2 linked regions of the Arabidopsis thaliana genome follow. The protein of the gene in region 2 interacts with the protein of the main gene of each other region in a pairwise test. Each region holds a gene or a part of one and is shown on either strand. Other genes may lie near its edges. The genes, in order: PCNA2 and POLH.

What was found.
Region 1: the proteins of POLH (region 2) and PCNA2 interact in a two-hybrid assay, tested with the Arabidopsis thaliana proteins (one study listed by BioGRID).

The regions. Positions count from the first base shown.
Region 1 is NC_003071.7:12,649,178-12,653,810, forward strand, and holds PCNA2 (proliferating cell nuclear antigen 2), read right to left. Parts: upstream 2,577-4,633; 5' UTR 2,422-2,576; coding exon 2,103-2,421; intron 1,615-2,102; coding exon 1,462-1,614; intron 1,379-1,461; coding exon 1,281-1,378; intron 1,187-1,280; coding exon 962-1,186; 3' UTR 729-961; downstream 1-728. Other genes in the region: ENOC (cytosolic enolase), read left to right, coding at 1-90, 446-517; MAC5B (CCCH-type zinc fingerfamily protein with RNA-binding domain-containing protein), read left to right, coding at 2,834-2,938, 3,334-3,603, 3,724-3,947, 4,129-4,633. UniProt on the Arabidopsis thaliana protein: This protein is an auxiliary protein of DNA polymerase delta and is involved in the control of eukaryotic DNA replication by increasing the polymerase's processibility during elongation of the leading strand. May be involved in UV resistance.
Region 2 is NC_003076.8:18,047,041-18,053,717, forward strand, and holds POLH (Y-family DNA polymerase H), read right to left. Parts: upstream 4,857-6,677; 5' UTR 4,740-4,856; coding exon 4,664-4,739; exon of another isoform or gene 4,383-4,663; coding exon 4,262-4,382; intron 4,172-4,261; coding exon 4,060-4,171; intron 3,966-4,059; coding exon 3,795-3,965; intron 3,711-3,794; coding exon 3,546-3,710; intron 3,472-3,545; coding exon 3,368-3,471; intron 3,131-3,367; coding exon 3,011-3,130; intron 2,811-3,010; coding exon 2,687-2,810; intron 2,494-2,686; coding exon 2,380-2,493; intron 2,299-2,379; coding exon 2,083-2,298; intron 1,981-2,082; coding exon 1,881-1,980; intron 1,790-1,880; coding exon 1,659-1,789; intron 1,405-1,658; coding exon 1,285-1,404; intron 1,208-1,284; coding exon 863-1,207; 3' UTR 693-862; downstream 1-692. Other genes in the region: REV1 (DNA-directed DNA polymerase), read left to right, coding at 5,629-5,795, 6,005-6,149, 6,336-6,451, 6,528-6,604. UniProt on the Arabidopsis thaliana protein: Error-free DNA polymerase specifically involved in DNA repair. Plays an important role in translesion synthesis (TLS), where the normal high fidelity DNA polymerases cannot proceed and DNA synthesis stalls.

The sequences.
Region 1 (4,633 bases), on a different chromosome or scaffold from region 2:
TTCATCTCTGACTTATCTGTGGGTCTCGCAACAGGTGTGATTAAAGCTGGTGCTCCTTGCAGAGGAGAACGTACTATGAAGTATAACCAGGTCTGGATCTTTTTCCAAACTAATATCCTCAGTACCCCTTATGCAATTACACTAGAACAATCTACATTACGTGGAGTAACCTGCATTGGAATTTTGGATCATAGCTCTTTCATCAGATTATCATCAGCTTCTTTTTAGCTTTTAAGTAGCTGAGTTATGTTGTGGTATGTGAATCTTTAGCAACCTAGGCTAAGTTTCAGTTTCTTCAACTTTTGGCTAATGCAGCCTCAGCTTATAGATCCATAATGATTGAGTTTGGAGCAGCCATGTACATTTAGTTGCTAGATAGTGTTCTCATTTCATTGTAGAAACTACTTTATTAAAAAGCTGAATCACTGTTGAAATGTTCCTGCAGTTGCTACGGATAGAGGAAGAGCTTGGGGATCAAGCAGTGTATGCTGGAGAAGATTGGAAGCTATCTCTCTAAACAAAATGCACATGTGATATTAATTGTTACACTTCTCGTCTTACTTCATTGTTCTCGAGTCTATTTCTCACGCAGACAAATTCTTGTGTCTTGAAAGTTCAAATTTTTTGTTGTTTTTGCCAAATTTAAGAACAAACAGAAGTAAAGAGTGTTAAACATGTTTTTTACAAATTGTAAAAGCATCCAAAAACATCAATCAACACTAGTTCGTGAGGTTGCAGAAGCCACAAACAAACGTGTTTTAGGGCTTCGTGTCTTCTTTTTCTTCAATGTTTAACAAACAGATGAAAAGTGTTATAAACAAGCTTTTCCAAATTTCAGAAAGACAAACATCATACGATTATCTAGTTTAGCATTGCCTTAAGATAGTAAATCCAGAAAACAACTGAATCAAGACAGACATTTCAACAAAGGACTCGAACGAAGACTATCAAACATTCATCATTATTCTGGTTTGGTGTCTTCTTCTTCTTCAATCTTAGGCGCCAGATAGTATCGAATGTAACCCATCTCAGCCACCTTGTACTCCACCACGACCGGTAACTCAGAGGACAAACTGATGGTCACAGTTTCCGACAATGGAGTAGCCTTTGTGAAGGAGTTCATGTACCTCAATGCAAATGAAAGCGAAACAGGCTCGTTCATCTCTATCACAATAGCATCTTCAGGCTGCAAAACACACATACAAACATAAGGTCACTTCAACATTGTATTGGACAGATTATTAAACAAATCTCTCTAGATGACTAGTGATTGTTCATACTTTGTCGACGGTAGTATTCTGCCTGAGCACAATGTTTGCTGTCCCGATATCACCTGCTGTTGAAAACTTCACCCCTTCTTTTGTTACCGAGATCACAACTGCAAAATCATAACATCAAAACCAGAATCATGATTAGAGAATCCTCGCAGTGATACACCAAATAAACAAACAGTTCATTTACCTGTGTCACCAATGCTACTGAGATCTTTGCATATCCTGGAAAATTCACCAGAAGGCATTCTCACAATCGAGTGGTACTCAGCATCAGGAATTCCTAAATGCTCACTGTCGATATCCATCAGCTTCATCTCAAAATCTGCAATCTTGTCTTGTGCTGCATCATCAACACCATTTAAATAATGAGATTAACACCACATAGTCAATATCAAACAAAGTTCCTCTGTTAACTTTCACTAAATCAAGAAACTCTATTCACTTTCAAACTATAGTCTTTAAGCTAGAGACTATACCTATTCTGAAAACAAAAATGGAAGGACTCATTCTCATCAAGCAAGTTCTAGTTTCTGTCAAATGAAACCTATAAATAACAGTTCAGATCACTAATAACATCATTAACTACACAAAAACAAAGCCATATCAAACCTTATTCCAAACCAAAAACCCTCTATTAACATAGATTTTATCTTCTCTTTCATCTCTTACAAACTAAAGCTTTCAAGAAATGGACTGAATCATTCTCTACAATCATATTCTAGCTTCTGGCAAATCAAACCTATAAACACAGAATCAGGTCACCAATAGCATCAACATTGACAACAAAACCAAAGCCCTAACAAACAAAAATCGATTTGAAGAACTTACTGGGACTCTCAAACATGAAAGTAACAGTGTCGCTACCATCATCAGCTTTGATGGTGATGATATCATCATTTCCAGCACATTTCAGCATCTTAGACATATTACCAAGATTCATTCCCATAGAGAGGTTCCTATCGCATCTATAGTGCTCGAAACCTTCAGATCTAAGCAAAAGAGACACCAACGCGACATGGCTCGAATCCATAGCTTGAAGCGAGAACCCTGTGGTCGAACAGTCGAAGTTCGCATCGTTCACCAGATCTTTGACCGCTTCTAGAACCTTCTTCAGTAGAGAACCTTGAACTAAACGAAGCTCCAACATCTTCTGGGAAATTATCGAAAGGTTAGAGTGTGAATCGAAACGGTTAGGGTTTTTAGAGCTGTTGAAATTTCTGGGAGGAGATTGCAATTGTTAGCGGGAAGTGATATTATAAGCTGAGATTTTGTGGCGCCATTTAGCGATTTTAGGGTATTTTTGTTCCCGCCTGTGTGTGACGATGAATTATCATCTGTGTGAGTCCGTATTGTTTATTTCAGTACACCACCATCACTTTAAGCTTTCTTATTTCATGGGTTTAAATTGGGCCAAACAAACATTCGGCCCAACAGCAGCTGTAATATTAAAGATTCCCGAAAAAATCGAAACGAGAGCAAATCTGCTCTTCAAGGTAATCTTCGTGTTCGAGACTGAAGAAGAAATCCAGAAATCATTGAGGAAGGAAGAGAATTAGGAAATGGCGCATAGAATACTGAGAGATCACGAGGCTGATGGATGGGAACGTTCTGATTTCCCAATCATCTGTGAGTCTTGTCTCGGTGACAATCCTTACGTGAGAATGGTATATTCTTCGCTTCCTATGTTTCTCCTCAAACAAATTCGATTTCCTTGCCTTTAGCTAGATTTTTTTTTAACATTCATGTGTCTTTATTAAGATCTCCTTTCATTTGTCCATTTTCGAGCTTGTTTAATGCTTTTATGTTTCTTAGTGTTGAAGCTGCAATTTTAGTGATTTGAGATTTTAGGGTTTAAGCGATTTAATATACAATTCATAACCTTTGGTAAAAATCAGAATTCATGGAGTTGTAGTTCAAAATGATATCTTTGGTTTGTTCTGATCAAATTTGCTTAGAGGGAATGTAATTCATTGAATACTGTCTCATGTTATGTCTGGTAGTGATGTGCAGCTTCATGTTTGATTGATTGATTGATTTATTGTTGTTGTTTGGTATGTAGACAAAGGCGAATTACGATAAAGAGTGTAAGATCTGTACCCGGCCTTTCACGGTTTTCAGATGGCGACCTGGTAGGGATGCGAGATACAAGAAGACTGAAGTTTGTCAGACATGTTGCAAGTTGAAGAATGTGTGCCAAGTTTGTCTCTTGGATCTTGAGTATGGTCTTCCAGTTCAGGTCAGAGACACGGCGCTCAACATTAGTACTCATGATTCTATCCCAAAAAGTGATGTGAACCGAGAGTTTTTCGCTGAAGAGCATGATCGAAAGGTATGGTGACTCTGCGTTCTAACTAGTTATATTATTTGAGTATTGATTGGTTTGAGATTTGGCTATACAGTTTCTCTACTTTGTAATGGCCTATTGAAATGGTTTTGTTTTCTTGTGTAGACGAGAGCTGGACTAGATTATGAGTCTTCTTTTGGGAAGATTCGGCCCAACGATACCATTCGTATGCTTCAAAGGACAACGCCTTACTACAAAAGGAACCGAGCTCATATTTGTAGTTTCTTCATTAGGGGAGAGTGTACAAGAGGTGATGAGTGTCCATACCGTCATGAGATGCCTGAAACAGGAGAGTTATCCCAGCAGAACATTAAAGACCGTTATTATGGGTAAGCATACTTCTAACTTTCATTTTGTTTGAGTATGATAATATTGAGTTACTCCTCAATTTCTTGCTTTGGTATATCATGAAAGAGAGTTATGAAAAATACATCAGTTTGTGTGCGTAAACTGGCTGTTATTTTGGTGATATTGGAACTGTTTTCTCATCTTATTCTTCACTTCCTGCAGTGTAAACGATCCAGTTGCGTTGAAGTTACTTGGCAAGGCTGGGGAGATGGGTACTTTGGAATCTCCAGAGGATCAAAGCATCAGAACGCTTTATGTTGGTGGGCTAAACTCGAGAGTCCTTGAGCAAGACATTCGTGATCAATTCTACGCCCATGGAGAAATCGAATCCATCAGAATCTTGGCTGAGAAAGCATGTGCGTTTGTCACTTACACAACCCGAGAAGGAGCAGAGAAAGCTGCAGAAGAGCTCAGTAACAGGCTAGTTGTCAACGGTCAGAGGCTAAAACTCACATGGGGAAGACCTCAGGTTCCCAAACCTGATCAAGATGGTTCTAACCAACAGGGCAGTGTGGCTCATAGTGGTTTACTACCTCGAGCAGTTATATCTCAGCAACAGAATCAACCTCCACCAATGCTACAATACTATATGCACCCACCACCACCACAACCTCCTCATCAAGACAGACCATTTTACCCATCAATGGACCCTCAGAGAATGGGTGCA
Region 2 (6,677 bases):
CTAATAGAAATTATAATCTTGGTGTTAGATAGATTTCTTGAGAAATCGGACACTCTTAATTAAGCTTTTAAAGGTAAATTAATTGCAATTTTGGAGAGCAAGTTCGAGGGTATTTAGGGTATTTTACACACAGGAGGAACAATAATAAAAAGTAAACCCATTGGATGGCATGACAGTGGCCTGCAGTATTGTCCTAACCCCAAAAACGGTTTCAGGTTTTCGAATTTTGTGTTTTCTTTTTTACCGTTTTTACGCTCAAAATGAAGTAAAAATGTTTTGATAGCAAACAAACTTATGGTAGTTCAACCTTACCAAAAAAAAAAATCCTCCTTACCAAAAAAAAAACTTATGTTAGGTCAATTAATATTAGAGAATTCTATTCTAGAAAGTAGGATGAAAAATAAGTTAGTTAAGAAAAAAGTCATATTTAGGCGAAGTTGTAATTAACATTTCGATTGATTTGACTTTTGAAAATAAAATGTAATCGTTTGATATAGAATTGATCCAAAAAGAACTCATACTAGAGAAACTAGAGCAATTAGGTAGGATGTTTGAATATTTCATGAGATTCCGTGGTTGAGCAAAGATATACAAACTTCTGATAAACCTTCTATCACTTCTTCACATGTTTACCAAAAAAAAAAAAAAACCCTTCTATCACTGTGCATACCATAAAAAACAAGAGGTCTCGATGGATTTTAAAGACGATATATATATATTTAGTTTTTCTATTGCTCAAAAATGACATTTTTAATAGGATTTAAGCATAATATATCTGTAGTACTCAAGATACAAGACCAAATCTAAGGTAGACAAGGACTACACTATATACAGTCAACAACAGAGACAAAGGAGCTTAGATCTATCTATTCAATGGTGGAAAATAATGAGCAATGCTTGAAGTAGAACCATCACCTTTGCTTTTACCGGTGTTAAACTGCTTATTGGTGCGTAGGAAACTCCTGAGTTCTCGTTGAATCTCAACCGGTAATTCATCGAAAACTGACTGATCGATTTCATCAGTCTTATATCCCCAATCTGTTTCTCTACTCTCTTCTACCTCTTGATTCACTTGACTATTATGGCTGCTGCTACTTAACTTTGCTCTTTTACTGGCTGATGACACTGTGGAATCTTCTTGAGTCTCTTGTTTTGATGGAGGTGTTGCATTGTAATTCTTAAAGATATCGACAATTGAAGGCATTCCCTGAGAACAAACAAGCAAACAAATCTCAGTAAAGGTAGAAGCTTTTCGTGCACCAAACAAAGCAATATATTGCGTACCCGATTCTTTTCTTTCGAGTTGTTCATCTTCCGCCCAATTTTCTTTGTCTGTGTGCCTTTGTTTGATTCTGATTGGGTAGAAACATCCGTTGCTTCGTTTGATGGACAAGAGACAACATCCTGACAAGGAATGTGTGGAATTGGTTCTTCAAGGATACACAATTTAAGAACATATATATAAGCTCTTGAGTCATTCAAACACTACAGGGCCTAACCAATCACTTCGTTACCAGTTATAATTACTAAAGAAGCTCCTTTGAAAGTTGAAACTGAGAACGTAATTGAGCCTAAATATGTTTAGCCTTTTTGCTAGATCACACCTCTAAGAAAGGCCTAAAATATGCTTTAGAGTAAAGGGAAATGAGAGCTGATACCTTTTCGGAGACTAGATCAATGTCTTTATCTTGGTTTTCAAAATTAGGCAAAGTATAAGTTACACCGGTGTCTACTTCAGGCATTGCTGCTTGAGTTTCTGTTGACCTCTGTTCTGAACATCCTTCGCTAGCTGCACCAGTTGCAGATTAGATCACGACATTAAGTACCAGAATCAAGAGAAGTAGAAAGTTCTGAAAATATACAGAAATACTCTAGAATACCTGAAGCAGTCATCGCTACATTTCCTTGAACACAACCATCTGCTGAACGAGAAGGAACAGTAGGTTGACTTTGAAAATATCTCATGATCGAGCTTGTTCCCTACAGTAATAAGATATCACTCCTACCAAATCAGTGAAGAAACCAACCAATGTTTGAAAGAGATAAGTAAGTAGAAGACATTTAATGGCTCTAAGAACTTACAGATGGTATATCAACAATTTTACTCGCTGAAACAGAAAGACCTGTTATCCTCCATGTCTCTAGCTTATTTCCTTGAGGTTTGATCCCGAAGGATCCCATGTACTCACGTAAGGCAGCTTGGAACAAGTTAAAGGCATCTTCTTGGATCTTGGTTACTCCATATCTCATAGGACATGATTTTGAAGGAAATTTCTTATGAGAATCTGAATCCTTTGACTGCAATATTTTTCAGGAAAAATATGTTTTAAGTCGTAGTCTTCGCAGAGAAAAATGATATATAACAAGAGAAGTAGGTACTCTGAAAGCGCTAGCATGAAGGGTAAGGGTGCTTGCAATCCGCTTATTCTGCTCCAAGTCAGAACCGAGGCGCTCGCTTAGTTCCTCGGAAAGCTGATTCAGCCAATGCTGAACCTAGAAATATAAGAGAACACAACACTTATTCTAAAAACTAGTTCTATGATATGATTGAAGATAAAAAGGGGATACTTTTGCTACTATTTTTCCAAAACGTTTCACCTCTATAAGCACTTTCAGTTATGACCTATCAACTAGAGCAACTGATAGCAAAGGGAAAAGAAGTGCATTGTTGAGATTCTACTCTTACAGTTGAGAGTGACTTCAAAGCACGAGGTCCGGGAAATGTCTTTCCAGAACCATGACTTTTGGGGAGAAGGCGACCTTGCACTTCTTCTCCACTGATCCCTCTTGCTATATTCCATAACCAAGTACTACAAGTCGGGGGAAAAATCAGAAAAACGTATTAATAGACAAACAAGCACGAGTTGCATGTCTTTAAATTTCTATTATCAAGCAAATAAGCAACTATTGGGAATTTAGTATGCTAGAAGGTACTAATCAAATAATGAACAATCTACAATAGCCTACGAGTCCAGGACAACAAAAATTCTATCTTTTCCAAAGCTATTACCCAGTATTTACTCCGTAATGTTCTTGTAGCTTCGTTTCAGAAAATTGCAGCAAGTCCCCTACTGTGTCAACTCCCAAGTCAGTTTGCAAGCTAGTGCCCAGCTTTCCTCCCAGTTGTTTCCTGCACGTTATGTCTAATTAGAGCTCAATGATTACCAGCACTAACTGAAAATTTTATGATCCTGGGACAGCGATAAAAGATGCAATACACAACTTTGGACTGTCTTACATCTTATAAAACACAGCTGTGTTGATACTGACGCAAATATTTAAGTGTATTCCGTAGAATGTGACAAATACTAAAAGTTCTCCTACGAAAATATGTGTTGTGATCAATACACTATTGAAACTTACTTACATTTTCTTTATTGGCAAGGAACTTAGTAATTCCTGTACAGCTGCATATGGTACAACTGTCTGCTGCGCAGGTTTGTTCATTCCACTAGCAAGTTTGGCTAGCATCTGCTTGTTGAAGTTATATGTTATTACTCGCCATACAAGCGATAAAAGGAAAACAAAATAAAATAGCTTCTTGCCTTGTTATGGGCTATGCCAGCAGAACAAGTAAACTCAGTCTCCTTAAGCACCTGTTTCCGGAGTTCTGCAACAATGATAATTCCACAACTTAATAACTTATCACGTCGATCAGCATCTTCTCGACAAATCCAATTGCGGACACTCTCCTTGAAATCATCTCCATCCTGAAAGTAAAATAAATAAATTCAGATCATAATATTGACTATCGACTATACTTTTGTTGGAGACTAAAAGACACCAAAACAGACCTCTCTGTTCATTCCAAGAATATGGGATTTAAGAACTTCCTCATCTATCAATTCCAAACTCTCTGGAGGTGCATCAGCAAGCATGCTTTCTGCTGCATCAGTGAGGTCAAGATACACTTCATCAATCGAAGCCCTCTCACATTTTCCGCTTTTTGCTAGAATCGAAACCACCTGCAGCGACAACACATAGAATGAGATGAATTTAGCAAATGTCATTGTTTAGACAAACACAAACAGTATAATAATAACTTCCACTTCCATCAACCTCAGAACCGGCACTGCGATATAAATTAAGGTCAGCTTTACCACGAGCCACAGGAACTTGAACCAATTGAATCTGAGGACAAGCAGCTTTAGCCTCATCACCTCTCATCGACCTGAACATTAACCCAAAACACAATTTTTCCCTATCCTCAAAAGATTGATACAATTGGGGGAAAGAAGCATTTCTGTAATTACACACTAACCGCTTTACGCCACATTTACGTGCTTCGTAACTAACAGCAATCAAACCACCACCTTGCCATTCATTGTACTGTACAACTGCACTAGGCAGTCCTCGCAACTCCGGTTGCTTCCTCTGCTCCACTAATCACTCACTCATAAAAAAATCCCTTAACCAGGTAAGTAAAGGAGACATTTTGATAAAATAGAAACAAAAAAGCACACTTTTTGGTATTTGGTAATTTCCCAAATCCCTAAAACAAACGCCAACGAGAAAAAAAAAGAAAAGAAACCGTTATTAAAATTCGATTGAAACCCAAAATTCCAACAAAGCTAAAAAGTTCAAAAAAAGTGTTAAAAAGCTTTGCTTTCTCTCACTAAAGCGTCTAGTGGCTGAATACAATTCGGGTTAGAGAGAGAAGGACCTTGAACGTAGAAGCAATCCATGTCGACATGAGCGATAACTCTAGCATCCGATGCTTCCGGTCTCGCTACCGGCATTTCTATTTCAGAAATCTCCGCAGAAATCAGAGGGAGAGAGAGAGAGAGAGAGAGAGTTTTTACCACCGAAAGAGGGGTTTCTTGGGGATGATGACTGATGAATAGCGCGCGAAAATAATAATTAGGAGAAAAAGCGAGACAGATTAATAAAATGAGAAAGTTTCAAAACGAACCCTCAAAGAAACTAAACTTTGCAAAATAACCCGTTTAGAACACAAGTAATTTGACAACAAAACATGAAATTCATTGTAATGATCTCAAACCCTAAATATTTCTCCAAATTTGCCGTGTCAAATTATTTGTAAAAATAGGTTGAAGATTGACATTGTTGTTTTTAGAGATTTAGTGTGGTAACAAAATTATGGACATCAAGCTGCATCTTTCGAATTATGGTTGATCGTTCGGTAGATAAACAAAAAGTATAGATAAAATATTTAATATTTATTCATTACATAAAATTTTTATTGAGTTTATTTTTATTTATATAAAACAATCATAAAAATAATATGGGTCATGTTTTTTTCATCCATTACTATTTGTTCACTACTATTATTAATTTCACTATTATTGTGAAATGTCGATTTTTATTGCTCATTAAATTTGGCTAGATAATCTTCACTAACTAAAGATTTGGATTCAAGAAAAACAATTTTCTCTCAATTATGTTTATGATTACAAAAATAAAATAAAAAAATTAGGTATTAAATTATAACTGTAAAAATTAAAACTTATGGGGATTTTTGGAAGTATATACAAGTTTAAGTACTAATCTGAAAATGTTTGTGTTTTAGTATATAAACCACTCACAGGTTGTGACTTTACAAATTGGAAAATTTCGTTGAATGCTTCTTCTTCTCCGTCTCGTTGAGATTCCTCCCCAACAACAACAATGAAGCGTAGCTTGGGTTCAAATTCTTCAAACAATAGTGGCAGTGGAAGTAACAAGAAGTCTAAGAAGAATAATAATCCGAGCAATCAGAAAACCCTAGGCGCGGCATGGGGCGCTGCTTCTTCTCGTTCTTCTTTCCGGTCTTCTCCTTTCTCCGATTTCGGAAGGTCTTTCTATCATTCTCTGCCATTTTAGTGTTGGGTAGTGGTTAGATTTTGAAATTCCCATGTAAAAGTTGAAACTTTCCCTCTGAAAAGTGATGTTCTGAGAAAGATTGAATTTTGGAAATTTTATGAAGTTAGAATGAAGTAAGATGCGTTAAGCATTGTTATACTATCGTGGTTGTTGATTATTTTTTTTATGTTTTTGATGTTAGTTACATGGAAGTGAAAAATAGGAAACTTCAGAACCAATTTGAGACTGAGGCTTCTGCTGCTTCTCGTGGTGTTTCGGGTTCTGAGAAACTTATTTTCCAAGGGGTTTCAATCTTTGTGGATGGGTTCACTATTCCTTCTCATCAGGTTTAAGCTCTATTGCTTTGGTTTCTACCCATTTTCAATTTTGTTGGTTTCTAGTTCTTTCCTGATTTGAAATGGCTTAACTCTTATATCGTACAAACTGTTGCAGGTGAATAAACCTTAGAATTTGTTGTAGTGCAGTTTTGCTGGTGGGTTATATGTGATTTAACAGTGTCTAGATCTGTGTAGGAGTTGAAAGGATACATGATGAAGTATGGTGGAAGATTTGAGAACTACTTTTCTAGGCGTTCTGTTACACATATCATTTGCAGCAACCTTCCAGATAGTAAAGTCAAGAATCTTAGGTTAGTTGTTTCTTTAAAATTCTTCGCTAATTTCTTGCAAGTTCGTGTCTTATAATGGATTTTTGTTTCCAATCAGGACATTCAGCAGAGGATTACCTGTTGTGAAACCTACATGGATAGTGGACTCTATCTCTGCCAACAGACTTCTGGGCTGTAAGTCTATACAAGATGATTTAGTTTCAGTTAAATCATGTAGACATAAGTATAAATGTTTGGATTTGATCAT